Linked DNA regions of Saccharomyces cerevisiae S288C. Changing the gene in region 3 together with the main gene of any one other region gives a genetic interaction. Each region holds a gene or a part of one and is shown on either strand. Other genes may lie near its edges.

Region 1 (7,931 bases), on a different chromosome or scaffold from region 3:
CGAAATGCTCGAAAAACAAAGGGTATTGCCCGGCCCCGCGGACCTCCCTTTTGCGGCTCTCGGCCATTTTTTAGGTAATTTGACACCGTGCCCAAATGGCTTGGCACAATCGAGAATCAGGCACCCGCGTGTGACCGGCGTCATTCATTAAAGCCAGATAAGACAAAGTAAAATACAATGGATTATGATTAATACAATGATATACAAAAAGAGAGAAAATAAACGAAGGCTACGTCTGCGTAATTGACGATGGGAAACTGGTATTTTTATATAAGCATATGTAAAGTGCGAAGTATATCAGTACGGAATGCCATTTGTGAGCCTTTGGAATTCATCATAACCTTTAGTGAATATACTTTCATAACTTTTACGGATTAGCGCCTTCATATATAGTGCAGCTTCGTGATCGGTTTTTTGAGGTTGAAATCTTGCTCTTAGATTCCTAATTGTCTTGTGACCCTTAAAGCAGGGGAGACCGCTTCCTAACATAGGATTTACACACTCAATTATGGCCTCCACGTGCGGACGGGCGGCTAGATATGCCTTGATACAAAGTTCTTCAAAGTCCAGATACGCTGGGGTCTGGGGCGAACCTCCCATCACTTTAACCATTTCTTTCGTCAGCTTGAATGGTACTGCTTCAAACTTGATACCACCTGGGACAATATCAAAAATAAACCCAAAATCGATATGTAGACAATGTCCTTGATCATCGTACATAATGTTACCATTATGTCTATCCTTGAATTGCAACAAATACGAAATTACGCTATATCCCGCTAAGGATTTAACAAAGTTGTTTCGTGCGTTTTGAAATTCGATAGTAGATTCATTACCAAATTTACTAGTGAAATATTCATATAATCCATTAACAGCTTCACGTCCTAACATATCACGGGATACCGAATTGGGTAGCACATCGATGACACCACAACCCGGTGCCGTCGCAGTAACTCTGTAGGGAAAAACGTAGACATCCAAGCCAATACTAGACCAAATGGTTCTAAATAGCGAGATCAATTGTAACGCTAGAACATCTTGCCTACAGTCATCACCGACTTTGAAGATAGCAGCTTGCCATTTTTCAACTTCCTTGTTTTTACCTGTCAAAGGATCTTTTACGTCTTTCTTTATTTTAAAGGTCGCCATAAAAGGCGCCTTTGCGTGAGATTGAAGTGGCTTACCACTCTTCCGATCAATATCAATAACTACACCGTCAGGATTAGAAGGTAAATAAACATCAGGTTTCACCTCAATTTTGCTCATTTCTTCATCGATCTTATGTTTCTTTTCAGCCTTACTTTTTTTTATGTATGGTTTCAACTTACCAGATATGCCAGTTACTTCGTCGAAGAATTCAAATTCACGTTCGTAAAAATCGCGATGAGATTGGCTGAAACTTGAAACCATACGCTCCCTAATACGATCTAGAGTTGGTTTGATTTCATCTTCTTGTATACCTTCATCATCCTTGTAGCAGTTTGCAAGCATATTCCAGATTATTTGATGAGAAAATAACACACTAATTTTCGCAGTATCCAAAATCAATCTTTCGACATATCCGGTTTTATCGTATCTCAAACATTGTACGATTTGAGGAACATAGAAGAATGCCAAGTTCACATCTTGTGATTCCAACGAATATATGCTGAATTGTAAGATAAAAGAATTACCTTGCCATTCGGGAAGGAAAAGGTTGATAGATTTTAACGGGCTCACTGGCGCCCAGTATAAGGTTGCGTGTAGGTCTTTCTTACTGCTCAGGTGGCTTCCTTTTATGAACAGGTCAAGAGCACTTGGGGACCCCACACACATTAAAGCATGTTTTGCAACTAAGCCCACTAAAACATCCTCAGCTTTCTTGCTATAACATCGTTGTAAGAGATTTATTGCTAATGTTGGATCTTTAGCAAAGGTAGCTTCAACGATATCGCTTGTAAGCTCGTTGCTGTCGGCTCCTTCAATCTTCTCAGTCGGAGTAAGCCAGGTTTGAATCTGCTGGATTTCGCTTGCCAAGAAATAGTTCAGGATCTTGTAATCTTTCCCGCAATGACGTGACATTAGCGAGCTTAATTTGTTGAGCTGAAGGAAAAGGTCCCTAGTAACAGATAAATCTGCTTTGATTTTCAGCTCATTTGAGCCGAATGGCCACGCTACTGGTCTTTTAAACCAACTTAGGGCACCGTTTGTGATTTCTTGCGACAAACGGCCCATATACTTGGATCCCTGCTTATAACTTGCGTTTAGTACGAGAGTCGCGAATAACAATAATTCGTGGCGAATCATTCTAGCGAACGGGTGTAGTGAAGCCTTATACAGATTCTTGATACCATAAAGCGCACATTTCGTGAAAATTTTCAATAAAAAGTCACTTTGAAATAGTGTGCCCTCGAAATGGGAAGCAAAAAATTTAATAACATGAAGATGTGGTTGCATAGCTTGGGATGCATTTTTTGCATCTCTGTTGATACCTGCTTTGTCGTAAGGGGAATATTCCATTTTTTGGTATTCTTCGCCCTTTAAGTCATGATCGCGAGAATAGAGACCAATATTGTCATCAATGGAGCGCATCCAGCAATAGCATACTTCAACTAAAAGCAAATGTGCAACTTCGGGCTTCTCAGTTATGATTGTTAACCATACGTTTGTAGCAATCTTTAAAGATGCAGAGGTGAAGACTTCGAACGGGATGTGCACAATATCATATATCAATGACGCTGGTGCACCATTGCCAAGAATTAACAACGCGGTAGCCATATCAAGAAAATCAGTTACGTCTTTAGTTATAATCTTATTTCCTAAGGTCAAATTTTTTCTTATGTTTTGAGTGGAAATACCTATTTGCCTTTTGATATCCTCTGGTGATGATGTAATAGCGGTATCGAAAAGATATTTTGACCTCCAAGAATGTAAAGATATAAATCCAGAAATCGTGTTAGGTTTCTCTGGACCATAATAAGTAAGCCTTGATAATTCCTTATCTGCAGGTAAAATCAAACCAGCCATATCCATGGCAAATGAGACACCAAATTCAACAGAATTTAGCCTGCTGTACTCACCGAGATCTGATATGTATGATTGCAACAAAATCTTAGTATCCTGGTTGCTTCTATTCAATAGAATTCTTACCCATTCTTTAGCTGACTTGTGCAATCTTGATAGTGTCGTAGCGCGCCAGGACGATGAGCTTGGAACCAATATTGTTGTCTTAGAATGTTTTAATTTAAATTCATACCGTGGTTCAAATTTATGCGCCTCTGAGTCCAAGATACTATCAAATAGGGCTGTTAACATATCTAATAAGGTGTAGAGAGACAAATGATGACATAACGATGATGGAATAGATCTGATAAATATTTCACAGGCATGAAAAGCGGCATCCTGCAAAGTTGGTTCCCTATGAGAAAGGCAAAGTAGCAAGTTATTAAGTTGTTGAGCAATCATTTTGGAGTTGAATATGGCATCGTTACCCTTTTGAATCAACCTAGCATATTTTCTAATCATGGAAACCGACAAAACTGCAATACACTTCTCAATTGAACCGGAAAGAATGGAGGGGTCTGAGAAGTACAGTAGAGTCTTCGAACAATCACCTGCCTCGCATCTTATCGTTTCTAGAAGAACGGCAGCCGCTAAAAACATGATTTTAGACGATGAAGTTGTTCTGTACTGAACAATATTGGTATTGAAATATTCGGTTATCTGCTGTTTTTGTTGTTTGATATTTTCGTTAGATGAACCGCGGCGCAAAATTGTATTCATTTCCAATGAAAGCTCCTTGTTATTAGCAGGAAATTCAGAAGCCAGCGGTGGTGAATTATAGGCAATAGTTAATAAGAAAGAAAAATTTCGTTTGACAATAGGCCCGCCCAAGTGGTACCCATGGATGACAAAATTAAACCAGGCGTTCCTAAACTTGTTTGTAGTGACTTCATCCTTATTGATGTCCAATGGCGTATCGCCTGGAACAGGTAGTAGAGCGGCGAGGGGCTCTAAGTAGGTAGCGATTTGATCAGCAACACGGGAAATCTCCGTTTGAGGTCTGTGATGTTCCAATCGTTCTACTTCCCCACTGGCAATGATTGAGTCCAATAGATCATGAAGATACATGAAATATAAGTCACTTGAAAAATGCCTGGCCAACAATTCTTTTGATATCACACATTTCGCTTTAATAATATTTTTCAATAGTGCGCTATCATCAATTTTTGTTGCAATAACAGTTCTCGATTTGAAGAACTTTAGTAAAAGCGAAAATTCTGTCAGTGAAGTATTCGGAGCCAGTCTTGCCAAAGAATTCAAAATAACACCGTCTAATTCCTTTGACATAGAATTAACTTTTTGCGTAAGAATAGAGATAGTCAAAGCTGTTATGCTTTGGGTGTTATAGTATGAGGCGATTGTAGTCGTTGCAGCCACACAATTAGATATCAAAGAGGCATGGTATGTCATAGTAGCTCCACTATTGACATCATGGGAGGAAAGTTGGCCCACAGTTGTATTTCCGAGCAGAGCACCAGTGCCATCCAAACTGGCAGATGAATTTCGCAAGGGAAAGTAGTCTTTCTCAATATTTTTTCCAGATGTTATTGTTAATTGGCGCTCACGGAGCACCGGGACGGGCGATCCGTCCTCGGAAACAGCTAATAAGTTGTTCATGGAATAAATTGTACTCACAATTGCATCTTCATTTAGAGGGTATAACCCTGTGGTGAATATTTTTGCAACATCATTAACTGTTTCAGTCGTGATATGTGGAGACGCTACCAATAAAGGAAACATACGAATCAGAGTTAATGACAATTTTTCCGTGAAAAAATTCAGTAATGAGGCAGAAGCTACAATTGCTTTTATCAAAGATGGTGTAACGACATCAGATAAGAAAAATTTATCAATAGATTCAGAAACAACGTTTGTAAAACTTTCAAAAAGCTCGCTTTCTGTATCTTCTATAAACGGAATTAAACATAGCGTTTGTAGGTAGTGGGCTCGAGTATCAAAAGAAAATCTTGCACGGTTGTCTGTAGATAGGTCGAGAATATGTGACTCAGAACAAAATTGCAGGGAAATTTTACACATGTCTGTAAAAAACTGTTTATTGCTTCTTACGTTGAAAAAAAAGTCATCAATACACTTCGTATCATCGTTTTCATCGGCTACTTCTTGATCAAATTTGTAAAATTGGTATTGTTGATTTAGTAAGAACTCACTCAAGTTGGCGCCGACATGTGAAGTGTTTAACAGATGAGATATTAGCGAAACTTGCAAGCGAGATATTAATTCCAATAAGTAGGCACTGGATAGCTCATTTCCAGCATCGTAATACTGGACGATTGAATCATTGGTAAACGTTGCTGAGGAATTCAAAATCTTATCAACTTCGTTTAGAAATGATCCACGAAGCACAAGTTTCGCTAACTTTTTCCAGGTGAATTTAGTAAGCTCTGTAGAGTTGGGAAACTGGATAAATGCATTAATAAAGCCCACTAATGATAGTAGACCAGATTGTTTAATAGTAAAAATCTTTAATACACGCTCAAAATAAGTTGAAATGATGCCGCCTATATTTTCATAAAGAACGGGATACTGTTCACAAGCTTGAATCATAAACTTAGTCAGCTGGAAAGTTAGCAATTCAATCGGATTTCTCATCTGTTCCAACTTGAATTTCGAGGACAGAACATCTGAAATTCTTTGTCTTGGAGTTTCCAGAAAATAAGGCGCAATTATTTCTTTAAGCATTGTCTCTACCAGATCGAGCGTGGTAGGGATTGCAACACAAAGCGAAGTTAGTACTTCCCATTCACTCAATGTAAGTGGTATAGTATATATCTTTGACGTATTTGTGGAATAAAAAATAGGCAATGTATGAGTTATCAAATCTAATGTTGTACCATTACTGTTTTGATCATTTGGTGCACCCGTCGAAAGTTTAGTTAGTCTTCCAATAGCTTTCGCTCTTAAAGATGAAGAGGCTTTCAATCCTCTGGTAAATCTCATCTGCCTTAAACGAGTGGCGTTTTCGATTGCTGTAGTTATCTTTTTGTGATCTAATTTTTTTCTTGATTTACAATAGTTATTAATGTTGAATATGTTTTTTCCCACAACTCAAACATCTTCGCAGTATTCTTGAAAAAAAAAAATACTATTAACGTACCTTCATCCCTGCGCGTGCCGTTTGATGATATCAGCCAAAAGGTAAAATGAGATGAAAAAGGCCAATCATTCATAAATGTACTTAGAGACATTAAAGAATCAGTTAGAGAATATAAAACAAGATAATAAAAATGGTACGTAGATGCAACTATATCTTTCCGTTTCTCATTGGCGGTTTTTAGCGATCGAAAATACTAACATAATCTTTTTGGGGGGTGAGAATGTATATGTGTACTGGATATGTATATTCTTGGCTTTATTCAAATAGTTGAAATTACGCCAATTACAAAAGAAAAAGCAAAAAGAAAATGAAAACAGCAGTTCTATTCAGCCTAATTTATCGGCAGCAAGAATTCGTTTGAAAAGGGACCTTGATTCGCTGGACCTCCCACCAACAGTGACTTTGAATGTAATAACATCACCAGATAGTGCGGATAGATCACAATCGCCGAAATTGGAGGTAATTGTTAGGCCTGATGAAGGATATTATAATTATGGATCTATTAATTTCAATTTGGATTTTAACGAAGTTTATCCGATTGAACCACCAAAAGTTGTATGTTTGAAGAAGATCTTTCATCCAAATATCGATTTAAAGGGGAACGTTTGCCTAAATATTCTTCGAGAAGACTGGTCGCCAGCTCTAGATTTGCAGAGTATTATAACCGGGCTTCTTTTCTTGTTCTTGGAGCCTAATCCCAATGACCCGTTAAACAAGGATGCAGCAAAGTTACTGTGTGAGGGTGAGAAAGAATTTGCTGAAGCTGTGAGATTGACCATGTCTGGAGGTTCAATTGAACATGTCAAATATGATAACATAGTTTCTCCTTGAGTCAAGTTCAGAGTAATTTTCGGTTGATTTGATTATATATAAACAATAAAATTATAGATAATTGTGACATACTAGGCGAGTTGTCGCCTTGGTAACATCTTGCTACCGCCATCTTCTGTTAGTTTACGCCTTATGACCAACATTCCTTATATTCTCGTTCAAACTTTTGTCTCGATATTTTGCAGGTACCTGTAGAACTTAATGTGTTCTATTCAAAATAAGTATAAAATTTCTGGCCAGTAAAGGCAAACAAAACATAAAGATATTAATACGAAAAATTTCTTGAAGAAAACAAAAAATACTTCTTATAATAAAGAAACAGCGAAGCCATGGCTATTGACAAGATAATCAGGAAGGTGAGATACCCTGGATAGAAGACTAAGAGAGAGCAGGAAGTTGAAGAACGCAATCTCAGCTATCGCTAATTCTTACAAAAAATAAAGATATTACAACTATGGAAGAAAAAAATGAATGACTATACTAGTTAGTAATATTTAACAAGATAACGCTTTCTATTTTCTGTAAAAAAAATTCTGTCTCATGCACTTGGAAGCAGCTTCAACATTTCTCTTTTCCAGATGTCACATTTTCCGGACCGGCCGTCATTCAATCGCAATTAAAAGAGAAAAATACCAACAAGTGGGTTGATTTACTTTTGTGTTTTCAAAAAGACCAATAGTTCTAACAAAGTAGATGCTTAGAAGTAAGCAAAGTGGAATATAGAGAAACAAAATTAAGTGATAGATTTACTTTTACACAAGAAAAGAGATGAAAATTTTCAATACAATACAATCTGTGCTGTTCGCAGCATTTTTTCTAAAACAGGGAAATTGCCTTGCGTCAAATGGGAGTACCGCATTGATGGGGGAAGTAGATATGCAAACGCCCTTTCCAGAGTGGTTAACAGAATTTACTAATCTTACACAATGGCCTGGAATTGACC
Region 2 (4,030 bases), on a different chromosome or scaffold from region 3:
TCTTCCTTTGAAGAAAATTCGTCCTCATCTCCCAAGAGAGCCAGAAGTGTGTTTATATTAAACGTGCAGCGCTTAGGGATTCGGAGCAATTGGATAGTTTCACTTTTCAATTCATCATTCTTGAACTTCGAAGGTTCTACGAAAAGGCCATATCCACTTTTGGGGTCATCAATGGTGGATGGTTTTAATGAAAGGCTTTTATGAATGAAGATATTTCTAGAGTTCGAGTAAAAACGGAACACTTCCTCCATTTCAACTTTCCTTTTGGTTAACTTCGATTTTTCAGTGGTTATGAGGATGGCGAATTATACTATTTCTCTTTTTTTTCCTTTACACGATCTAGCATTGCTAACTACTTTTGATGCATGAAAACGCAACATATATTAGTAAGTGAAATATGTATTGTTGCGAAGATCTTTATAAGATTGTCTACATAGAGGTATTATCCTTCTAAAAATATACATAGAGAAGAGAAAGGATTGATAAGAAACGCCAGAGGATTATACATTAGGTAACGTAAAAACAGCAGTTTCTTCAGCTTGGGTGGAGTTGACAGAATAGTTGACCTTCCACTTGACTTTCAAAGCCTTTGAAGGGTTAGCTGGCGCATTTTCAATTGTACCTTCTTGAGAGATACCATCTTTAGCGTTGCCAATCATAAAGTTACTCGATTGGGGTTGCAATTTCAAAGACATTGACTTAGGGACTGCTAATAAGAACACTAAGTTGGAGATCGGTGACGAACTTAAGTTTGTAAAGAACGATTTTATCCTTATAACTGAGTTTGACTCCCTAGATATTTCGAACTCAATCTTCAAGTTAGGAGACTGATTGACTAGGGTTCTTGCGGGCGCAGTAGTAGTACCTGTTGTTGGATTAAATCCCATCAAAAGATCGAACCCACTACTGTTTACTGCTTGGGAATTAGTTGGCGATTGAGGAGTTGAAAGTCCCAAAAGATCTAAAGTGTTGTTCGAGTTGTTAGTAGTAGTAACTGGTGGTGCGGGTTGAGAGGACCCCAACACGATATCGCCTCCCAGACCAAAGGATGCTTGGTTAGCGGTTGAAGGGTTCGAAATAGATAAATCGGTCAAATCGCCCAATAAGTCATTGACAGATGTTTCCGCTGCTGCTGGTGTACCCGTGCCGTTGGTATTGTTGTTGCCTTGAGAGGGCGCTTCGTCCAAATCATTGAAATCGATTAAGTTGATTTCATTCGTTAAAGCACCAGAAGATTGTTGTAACGGAGCAGAAACATGACTTGGATGTATCTGCGAAGCAGCGTTGGAGTCACCGTTTTTCAATAAGTTGAATTTTTCCAATAGTTGATTAACTGTATCATTAAACTTCAATAGATCCTGCACTAACGCATCGTCTTCCTGTTCTTCCTCAATGATCTTTTGAAATTTTGGTTGAGCTACCTTTAATGCACTGTGAAGTTCTTGTGTAGTTTCGTTATCCCAGTTTTGTGAGTCAGGTGATTCCAGCATTTCATTCAGCAAATCGGCTTTACGCTTCAATTTGTTCAATTCACTGGAAATAGCCTGTTTAGCTTGAACGGCATTGTCTTCTTTGAACCCTGCCATGATTTTCATTAATTTGTTAGCTTCCCTCAAATCTTCAGGTTTACCACGCCTGATCAATTCTTCGAGTTTTGCAGCTTGAGCAATTTCCTGCTCCTTTTGAATTTCACTAGCGGTCTTCAATTGATTACTAGGCTTCAAAACTGCTAGGTCGGATTCACTGATTTTGGGGAATGCATAACCCTTATATTTCAACAAACGGTGCATGTCTCTAATATAACCCATATCATTCTTGTAGCTTGAGTGTTTACAAATTGTTTGATACCATTCTTCAATAGCAGTTAAAATCAATCTCTGAATCTTAGAATAACGTAATGGTGGGTGACCTGGAAATCTCTTGACCAGTTCATTCAAAAATTCCTTTCTAGAAATTTGCAAGTGGAATGGGTATCCACAATTCTTGACAAGCACGTCTAATAGAGATAACGCGAATATTGCCACGTGCGATTCTCTATTGTTGATCAGTTTAGCAAGTGCAATGGCAGCATCCCTAGGGGCAGCGCCCTGTTTTTCATTAATGTAGTCAGCAATGTCAAGATTCAACGCCAAGTCTGGTTCAGCAAGTGACATTCTGCAAGCTCTTTGAATCTTCCTCAAAAGAGGATTGCCCAAGGCTTGAGGTTTCCTGACGGGCAACTCAGACAAATATATGCTATGTGAGTGCGGATGGGACATGATGCAGTATCACGATTAGCAATTCAGCTATGAGTTATGTTGCTCTTTGTTTTGTTTATGGAAATTGTCCTATGGTAAGTCTCTTTTTTTTGCAATCGTGATTACAGAAAAAAAACAGGGCGCTGGAAAAGTGAAGAATCCGAAATTTTTTTCGAAATCACCATTGTTTGTTTTGAGTAGATCAAAGTCTTGAAAGGTGCAGCAAGATATAGGATCTTGACCTGAAGAGTATTGATAACGAACTACATCACATATTGTATCAAATAATGAGTGCTGCCACTGCGACTGCTGCCCCTGTTCCTCCTCCTGTAGGGATATCCAATCTTCCCAACCAGCGTTATAAAATTGTTAATGAAGAAGGTGGTACATTCACCGTGATGTTATGTGGTGAGAGCGGATTGGGTAAAACTACATTTATTAATACCTTATTTCAGACTGTCTTGAAAAGGGCAGATGGTCAGCAACACCGCCAAGAACCCATCAGAAAGACTGTAGAAATCGACATCACAAGAGCTTTGCTGGAAGAGAAGCATTTCGAATTACGCGTTAATGTCATCGACACCCCAGGTTTTGGAGATAACGTGAATAACAACAAAGCCTGGCAACCATTGGTGGATTTTATTGATGATCAACACGATTCTTATATGCGTCAAGAGCAGCAACCGTACCGTACTAAGAAATTTGACTTGAGAGTTCATGCCGTTCTGTACTTCATCAGGCCCACTGGACATGGTTTAAAGCCAATTGACATTGAGACTATGAAGAGATTGTCAACCAGAGCCAATCTGATTCCAGTTATTGCGAAAGCTGATACATTGACTGCCCAAGAATTACAACAGTTCAAGTCCAGAATCAGGCAAGTAATAGAAGCTCAAGAAATTCGTATTTTCACGCCTCCATTAGACGCTGATTCTAAGGAAGATGCCAAAAGTGGCAGTAATCCAGATTCTGCCGCTGTTGAACATGCAAGACAGTTGATAGAAGCAATGCCATTTGCCATAGTAGGGTCTGAAAAAAAATTTGACAATGGGCAAGGCACTCAGGTAGTTGCAAGGAAGTATCCTTGGGGACTTGTGGAAATCGAAAACGATTCTCATTGTGATTTCCGTAAGCTCAGAGCCCTGTTACTGAGGACTTATCTATTAGATTTGATTTCTACCACCCAAGAAATGCATTACGAAACATACAGAAGATTAAGACTTGAGGGTCACGAGAACACCGGGGAGGGGAATGAAGATTTCACTCTTCCAGCAATTGCACCAGCAAGGAAATTGTCACACAATCCTAGATACAAAGAAGAAGAAAATGCATTGAAGAAGTATTTCACTGACCAAGTCAAAGCTGAGGAGCAAAGATTTAGACAATGGGAGCAAAACATTGTTAACGAAAGAATCAGACTGAACGGTGACTTGGAAGAAATTCAAGGAAAGGTAAAAAAACTAGAAGAGCAGGTCAAAAGCTTGCAAGTAAAAAAATCCCATTTAAAATGATGATTAATTAATGTCTTCCTCTTTGTCTCGTCAATTTCAACGCCTATCTCTTTGTCTCTTCTTTTGTCGCAGCAATACGCACATATATATATGTATCTTATAAAAATATTTCAAATATATCTCAAAAAACATAGAATACGTAACACAATCGAACAGTAAAAACAAAAATAAACCGGTTTTTTCACGTTACTCTTGGGCACTTAGGTACCGTTCTGCATCCAAAGCAGCAATGCATCCGGAACCAGCAGAAGTAACTGCTTGTCTATACCTAGAGTCCTGAAC
Region 3 (5,354 bases):
TATAGTAAGCTGGAGAATTCCTTATCTTCGTCGTCTTCTAACATTTCTTCAGACTTTAGTGACCCCTCGGGAGATATCGAGGATAATGACGAAGAAAAGCCTATTTTAGCCTTAGATAATGACGATAATGACAATGCAGATGCTAAACACCCTATCACTGTTAAAAAGCCTAGGCAGAATAGTGAAAATATCAAGAACGAGCTCAAGATTCCGAAAGATATCAAAAAGGAAGTGATCGAAAAGAAACAATCAGAAAAGAAAACTACAAAAAGAAAGACTAAGAAGGAGCAAGAAAATGATGAACTAGATGAGTTGAAGAAACGGTTTGACGCTTTACGCAGAAAATAAGATAATAATTTATATGTATGGTTAATTAACCACATATTTATTTTACTCTCATTCTTTTACCTTGCTTTTTCTGAGTCAGCTGCTCTATTATTCTCGGCAATAAATAAATATATGTATATTCCTTTTACTAAAATTCCAATTTTTTTGTTCTCCGGACATTTGCAAATTGTTTTTCCAGTTCTGTCACAGCTATTTTCCTTCTCAGCTATATATACCCTGTGTAATAAGTTGAAATTGGTCGTATATTCTGGTGTAAATACTACCCAAAGATTTACCTATCAAGAAATTTTCTACGAAGTCATCAACTTCTTTTTCTGATAAGTCCAATTGGAACCTTTGTCGTAGTTGTACACTTGTTTGTTCGCCAGCATCGAAACAAGGCTGCATATTGTCCTTTTGCATAATCTCACACATTGATACGATTTGATCAGCATACTTTCTCAGAGCCTTGAACGAACTTTTAGTTAGTTCAACAAACTTTTTAAACGCTTCTCCCTCTACTCCGCCTAGCAGTTCAATATATTCGTAAGTTAATTTGAATGGTGCGGCCTCAAAGCCCACTGAGCCGGGTGAATTTGATAGCATAAATCCAAAATCGATGTGACTTACATGGCCTTCGTTATCGATCATAATGTTACCGTTGTGTCTATCTTTAACCTGCAAGAGATAGCAAATGACAGAATATGCGGCTAACGAAGAAGCAAAGTTGTCTTGTGCTCTTCTATACTTAAATCCATTAGGATTACCAAAAGCTCTAAGGAAGTGATCATTCAAAGAGGCAATACCACCCTTGTCATCTAGTTCTGCATCTTCAATCATTTTTTTGGTTAAAGCCTTTTTAATACTATGCACAGACATAGCATTTGTGATGGTCTCCACAAGTCCCGTATTCGCACTAGTAATTAAAATTTTCATTCTTTTAACCCAAACGTCAACTTTTTCTTTAACCCAAATATTGGCCATCGCTTGAATCATCTGGTATGCAAACGCCTCCTGTCTCAAATCATCACCCGTCTTGGCGATTACAGAACATAAATCCCAGTTTTCGAAATGGCCATATTCCGAAGTTTTACGTATCCTCTCTTTCTTGGTAGCCCAATCTTCACCTAGATATGAAGTGTCAATACCACCCGTCATTAAATCGTTTTCCAATTTTCTCTCACCTGCCATTCCATGAAGGGCTTCCAAATCATGGTAACCAAATTTATCCTGCACCTCCTTCATTGATGAAATAATTTGAGCGCGGATTTGTTTGGTACTTTCTGATAACTGTTGTGGCGACTTATCCAATTGTGCTAACATAACAGCTGAAACTCTCATCTGGTCTGCTAAAGCGTCAGTTTGGCTATGTATATTTTTGCTATTAATTCCATTCTCGATGAGTACTTCGTCCAAGTTTGAGCCAAAGTTCAACTCTGGGCTTCTGTCTTGACTATCATCAGGTAAAATTGGAACATTTGCGGCACTCTGTATTACTAAAGCATTTCTATACGCTTCGTCATCCGTTCTGTTCCTGACTTTTACCATTGACATATCACCTAAATCTTCCTCTTTATTGACTTCAGTCCTAACATGAGCTGTGGACGCTGAATCACTTCTTGAGGTACTGGATAGACCTTCATTGCGGGAGGCCCCGTTGTTGAACGAGTTACTATCATATACCGAAGATCGAGTGTTGTTGCTAGTAAGAGTACTTTCATTTCTATTTTCGTTGTTTTCTTTTCTATTCATGTAATTTAAATCAAATATCAAGCCTCCCTGATTACCACTGATCTTCTTTAATAATCTTTCATTGGTTTCACTTGTTGGGTCAAAATCAAATTCGTCTCTCAAGTATTCTATCAGGAGTAAATATGGAACTTTTTCTGCAGAGTTCAAAACTTGTGCCTCATTAGCAGTAATGGTCACTAATTTATGTAACTTTCCTTTTTTATTTGGAGGCAATAAAGTGGGGATATCTACTTCCGCTGGTAGGTCCCTGTTTAATAGAAACAACTCGGCTCGTAAGGCACTCAATCTAGCTTCTGTCGGTACTCGAGCTAGCCTTTGAGATATTGTTTCTAGCGCAATGGCAAATTGTGTCTCGCAACGAAAATAATTTGCTTTTAACATTTTTATTTTTGAAGTGGTCGATAATTGCGACAAGTCAATTTCTTGACTCAAAGAAGAATTCGCTTTTTTACTGTTTTTGAATGCCTGGCGCGAAAGGGGTTGGGAATTGGTCCTGTTTAACTTAGGTGTCCCTTCTAAAGAAGCAGATGAAGCAGAAGAAGTCCTTGGTTGAATATTATGCAGATCTGGCATAGAACTGGTGAAGTGATCAGAGTTTAAAGCGTCCGCGTCCTCCTCCGTTTCACCACCAGTTTCATCTTCATTGTTACCAATCTCATTATTTTCATCATTACGTCCCTTTGGAGAAATATAATCACCTTTATTTCCATCGAGAGCCTTTGCGGTATTTGAAATGCTTCCGTCCCTGTTTATATTTTTGCCATCATATGTCCTATGAACGTATGAATTATCCAAATACTTAGGTTTACGTTTTGGGAGTTTGATTGAAGATGAGATTCTTTCTTCAAAGACCTGGTTACCTATATCATCCACAATGTCGAAATCCAATTTTACCTCACTATGTCTGGATTTCCTGAAGGATGCATCTTCTTTAGTTTTTATTGGATCTATTAAATCTATTGGAGAAGTCGGAGTTGAACTGCGATTTGAGCTAACTCTTTTGGATCTGGAAGTTTTCTTGTTTAGTAGGGTATTTTTCAAGGTCATGTTCTTGGTAAAATCTTTCATTGCACTTCTAGCCAACTTAAAAACGAAAGCTTTTTGTCTTCTACCTTGAGATTCCACTAATGGTTTGGTCACTTCGCTTAATTGGGGGAATGCTATAGCCGACATTATCATAGAGGAAAGAACTAAGGCCGGTGCAACGTTTTCATGTATTTTAACATTTTTATCGCTACCTGAACTTGTGTTAAAGAGATTGGTTTGTAAGTTGTTTAAGACTCTTCTAGCCACTTGGAAGCCATAAGAAGCGGGGTCAGTAGATAAATCCGTTAGTAACGCTTGTAACTGCCAAAACGTCAGTAGTGCAAAATGAGGGTTTTCCGCCCTCAACCTTAATAGTAAATCTTCTAAAGCCATTGATTCTGTCTCCATGGTGACGAGGACCTGTACTAGTTGGGGAATATAGAACTGTAGTTCGCTGTGAGGAAATGTGGCCAATTTCTGACATAAATAGTAATGTATACCAATATTTTCGGAGTGTTTGCACAGTAACTCCACACAATTGTGAAGGGTGAATTCACTAGAGTTGATCAGTTTCAGTAATTGTTCATTTTTTTTTAGTTCAATAGTATCATCAAAGCTTTTCTTTGAACTGGATGCTTTATGCATAGTGAAGAGAACGAATGCTTAATGAAAACGAACGCTCGCAATGAAGAAAAATGATAAGCTAATTGAAAATTTCTAGCAGGGTCCAGGGATCTTCTTAATATAGAAGTTGGGCCTAAAAAATGAAGGGTCTTCAGTATAAGATCTTGTACTTTTAGTTTTTCTCTAACGAATTTTTTGGTAGGGTTCTTTTGTTTCAGTGCAATAACACGAAAATGACAACAGTTGAACATATCGTGAATAATGACCCTGTTATACACGCTATCAAGTACGTAAAGGATAATATGGAAAATTTATTATAGATTTGAGTACTATCGCTGGCCGAAGGTGACAATGGCCTTATGATGTAACATACTATGAATAGTGAATAATAAGTGGTGATATTATACATAAAGTTTGGGGCAATCCCTCAAAATCTCTACAGGCTATTTTGATTAATGAAACGTCTATTTTTTTATTTTTTTCTATTTTGAAGGCATGCAAGAGGTTCTGTGACTATGCAACAGCAGCCCAGAATTTCTCCCATAAATTCTTAGGCTCGTCGTCTTCCCAAATAATTGCTTCGATTTCTCTTCTGTCGGAATCGATGTCAATATCTTCTAGCTTCCAAATAAATCTGCATTTGTAGTATATCTGGCAACCAATGAACACAACGGCTAAAAGAATCAAGGAGATGTAAGATGTGAAAAACTCAGAAACTTTGAACGGACAGAACGCTTGGAACCCTTGGATGAATATGATGACGGTGACAAAAAAGGCTGCGTAGTAGGCACCATAAGGCATCAATTTGGCCTTGAAGGGCAGATCATCACGAGAAATACCACGGTGCTTTAAAGCTTGCATGAACCTAATATGTGCCAAAGAGATGAATAACCAGGCGCATAACCCAGCCAAAGTGGAAATGTTGATCAACCAGTTAAATGCAGTGTTTGCATTGTTATTGACAACCAGGAATGCCAAAAGACCCAATGCAGCAGTGCAAACAACACCGAGATATGGAACACCCTGTCTGGTGACGTATCCAAATTGCTTTGGTGCGTTACCAGTCCTAGCTAAAGAGTAAAGAACACGGGAACCAACGTAAACATTCGAATTAGCGGCAGATACAACAGTAATCAACACCACGGCGTTGAAAATATCTGGAAGAGCATAAGTACCAGCGTTTTGAATGGAAATAACGAAGGGTGATGATGCAATAACAGCAGAACTAGCAGATAAACGGGAATCGTTGTATGGAACCAGTAGACCAATAAAGAACAAAGACATAATATAGAATAGTACGATTCTAAAGACGACTTTATTGATAGCTCTTGGAACGGTCTTTCTTGGGTTAGCCGCTTCACCAGCGGTGATCCCAACCAGTTCAGTACCTTGGTACGTAAATGCAGCATTAATCAAGGAGGAGACCCATCCGAGAAAACGGCCTTCACTTTTATCACTGGAGATGATGCCTGGCCCCCAGGCTCCTGGATTTCTCCAGTACCTGAAACCGATAGGGCCCTGGTGGGATCCACCGCAGACAATAATCAAAGCATATATCAAGTAACCCATAATGGCTAAAACTTTAACAGAGGCCACCCAGAACTCAAATTCACCATAAACTTTGA

The links. Genes that interact genetically often act in the same process or in processes that back each other up.
Region 1: of PIK1 (region 3) and STT4, changing one enhances a phenotype caused by changing the other (phenotypic enhancement), as found in Saccharomyces cerevisiae (3 studies listed by BioGRID, with this or other methods).
Region 2: mutations in PIK1 (region 3) and GGA2 impair growth when combined (synthetic growth defect), as found in Saccharomyces cerevisiae (3 studies listed by BioGRID, with this or other methods).

The regions. Positions count from the first base shown.
Region 1 is NC_001144.5:737,864-745,794, forward strand, and holds STT4 (1-phosphatidylinositol 4-kinase STT4), read right to left. Parts: upstream 6,001-7,931; coding exon 298-6,000; downstream 1-297. Other genes in the region: NEDD8-conjugating protein UBC12, read left to right, coding at 6,288-6,290, 6,425-6,988; chitin deacetylase CDA1, read left to right, coding at 7,757-7,931. UniProt on the Saccharomyces cerevisiae protein: Acts on phosphatidylinositol (PI) in the first committed step in the production of the second messenger inositol 1,4,5,-trisphosphate. STT4 functions in PKC1 protein kinase pathway.
Region 2 is NC_001140.6:326,531-330,560, reverse strand, and holds GGA2 (phosphatidylinositol 4-phosphate-binding protein), read right to left. Parts: upstream 2,259-4,030; coding exon 501-2,258; downstream 1-500. Other genes in the region: CTM1 (cytochrome c lysine N-methyltransferase), read right to left, coding at 1-251; septin CDC12, read left to right, coding at 2,525-3,748; thioredoxin-disulfide reductase TRR2, read right to left, coding at 3,935-4,030. UniProt on the Saccharomyces cerevisiae protein: May play a role in the regulation of membrane traffic through the trans-Golgi network.
Region 3 is NC_001146.8:139,274-144,627, reverse strand, and holds PIK1 (1-phosphatidylinositol 4-kinase), read right to left. Parts: upstream 3,751-5,354; coding exon 550-3,750; downstream 1-549. Other genes in the region: IST1 (Ist1p), read left to right, coding at 1-348; LYP1 (lysine permease), read right to left, coding at 4,243-5,354. UniProt on the Saccharomyces cerevisiae protein: Acts on phosphatidylinositol (PI) in the first committed step in the production of the second messenger inositol 1,4,5,-trisphosphate. PIK1 is part of a nuclear phosphoinositide cycle and could control cytokinesis through the actin cytoskeleton.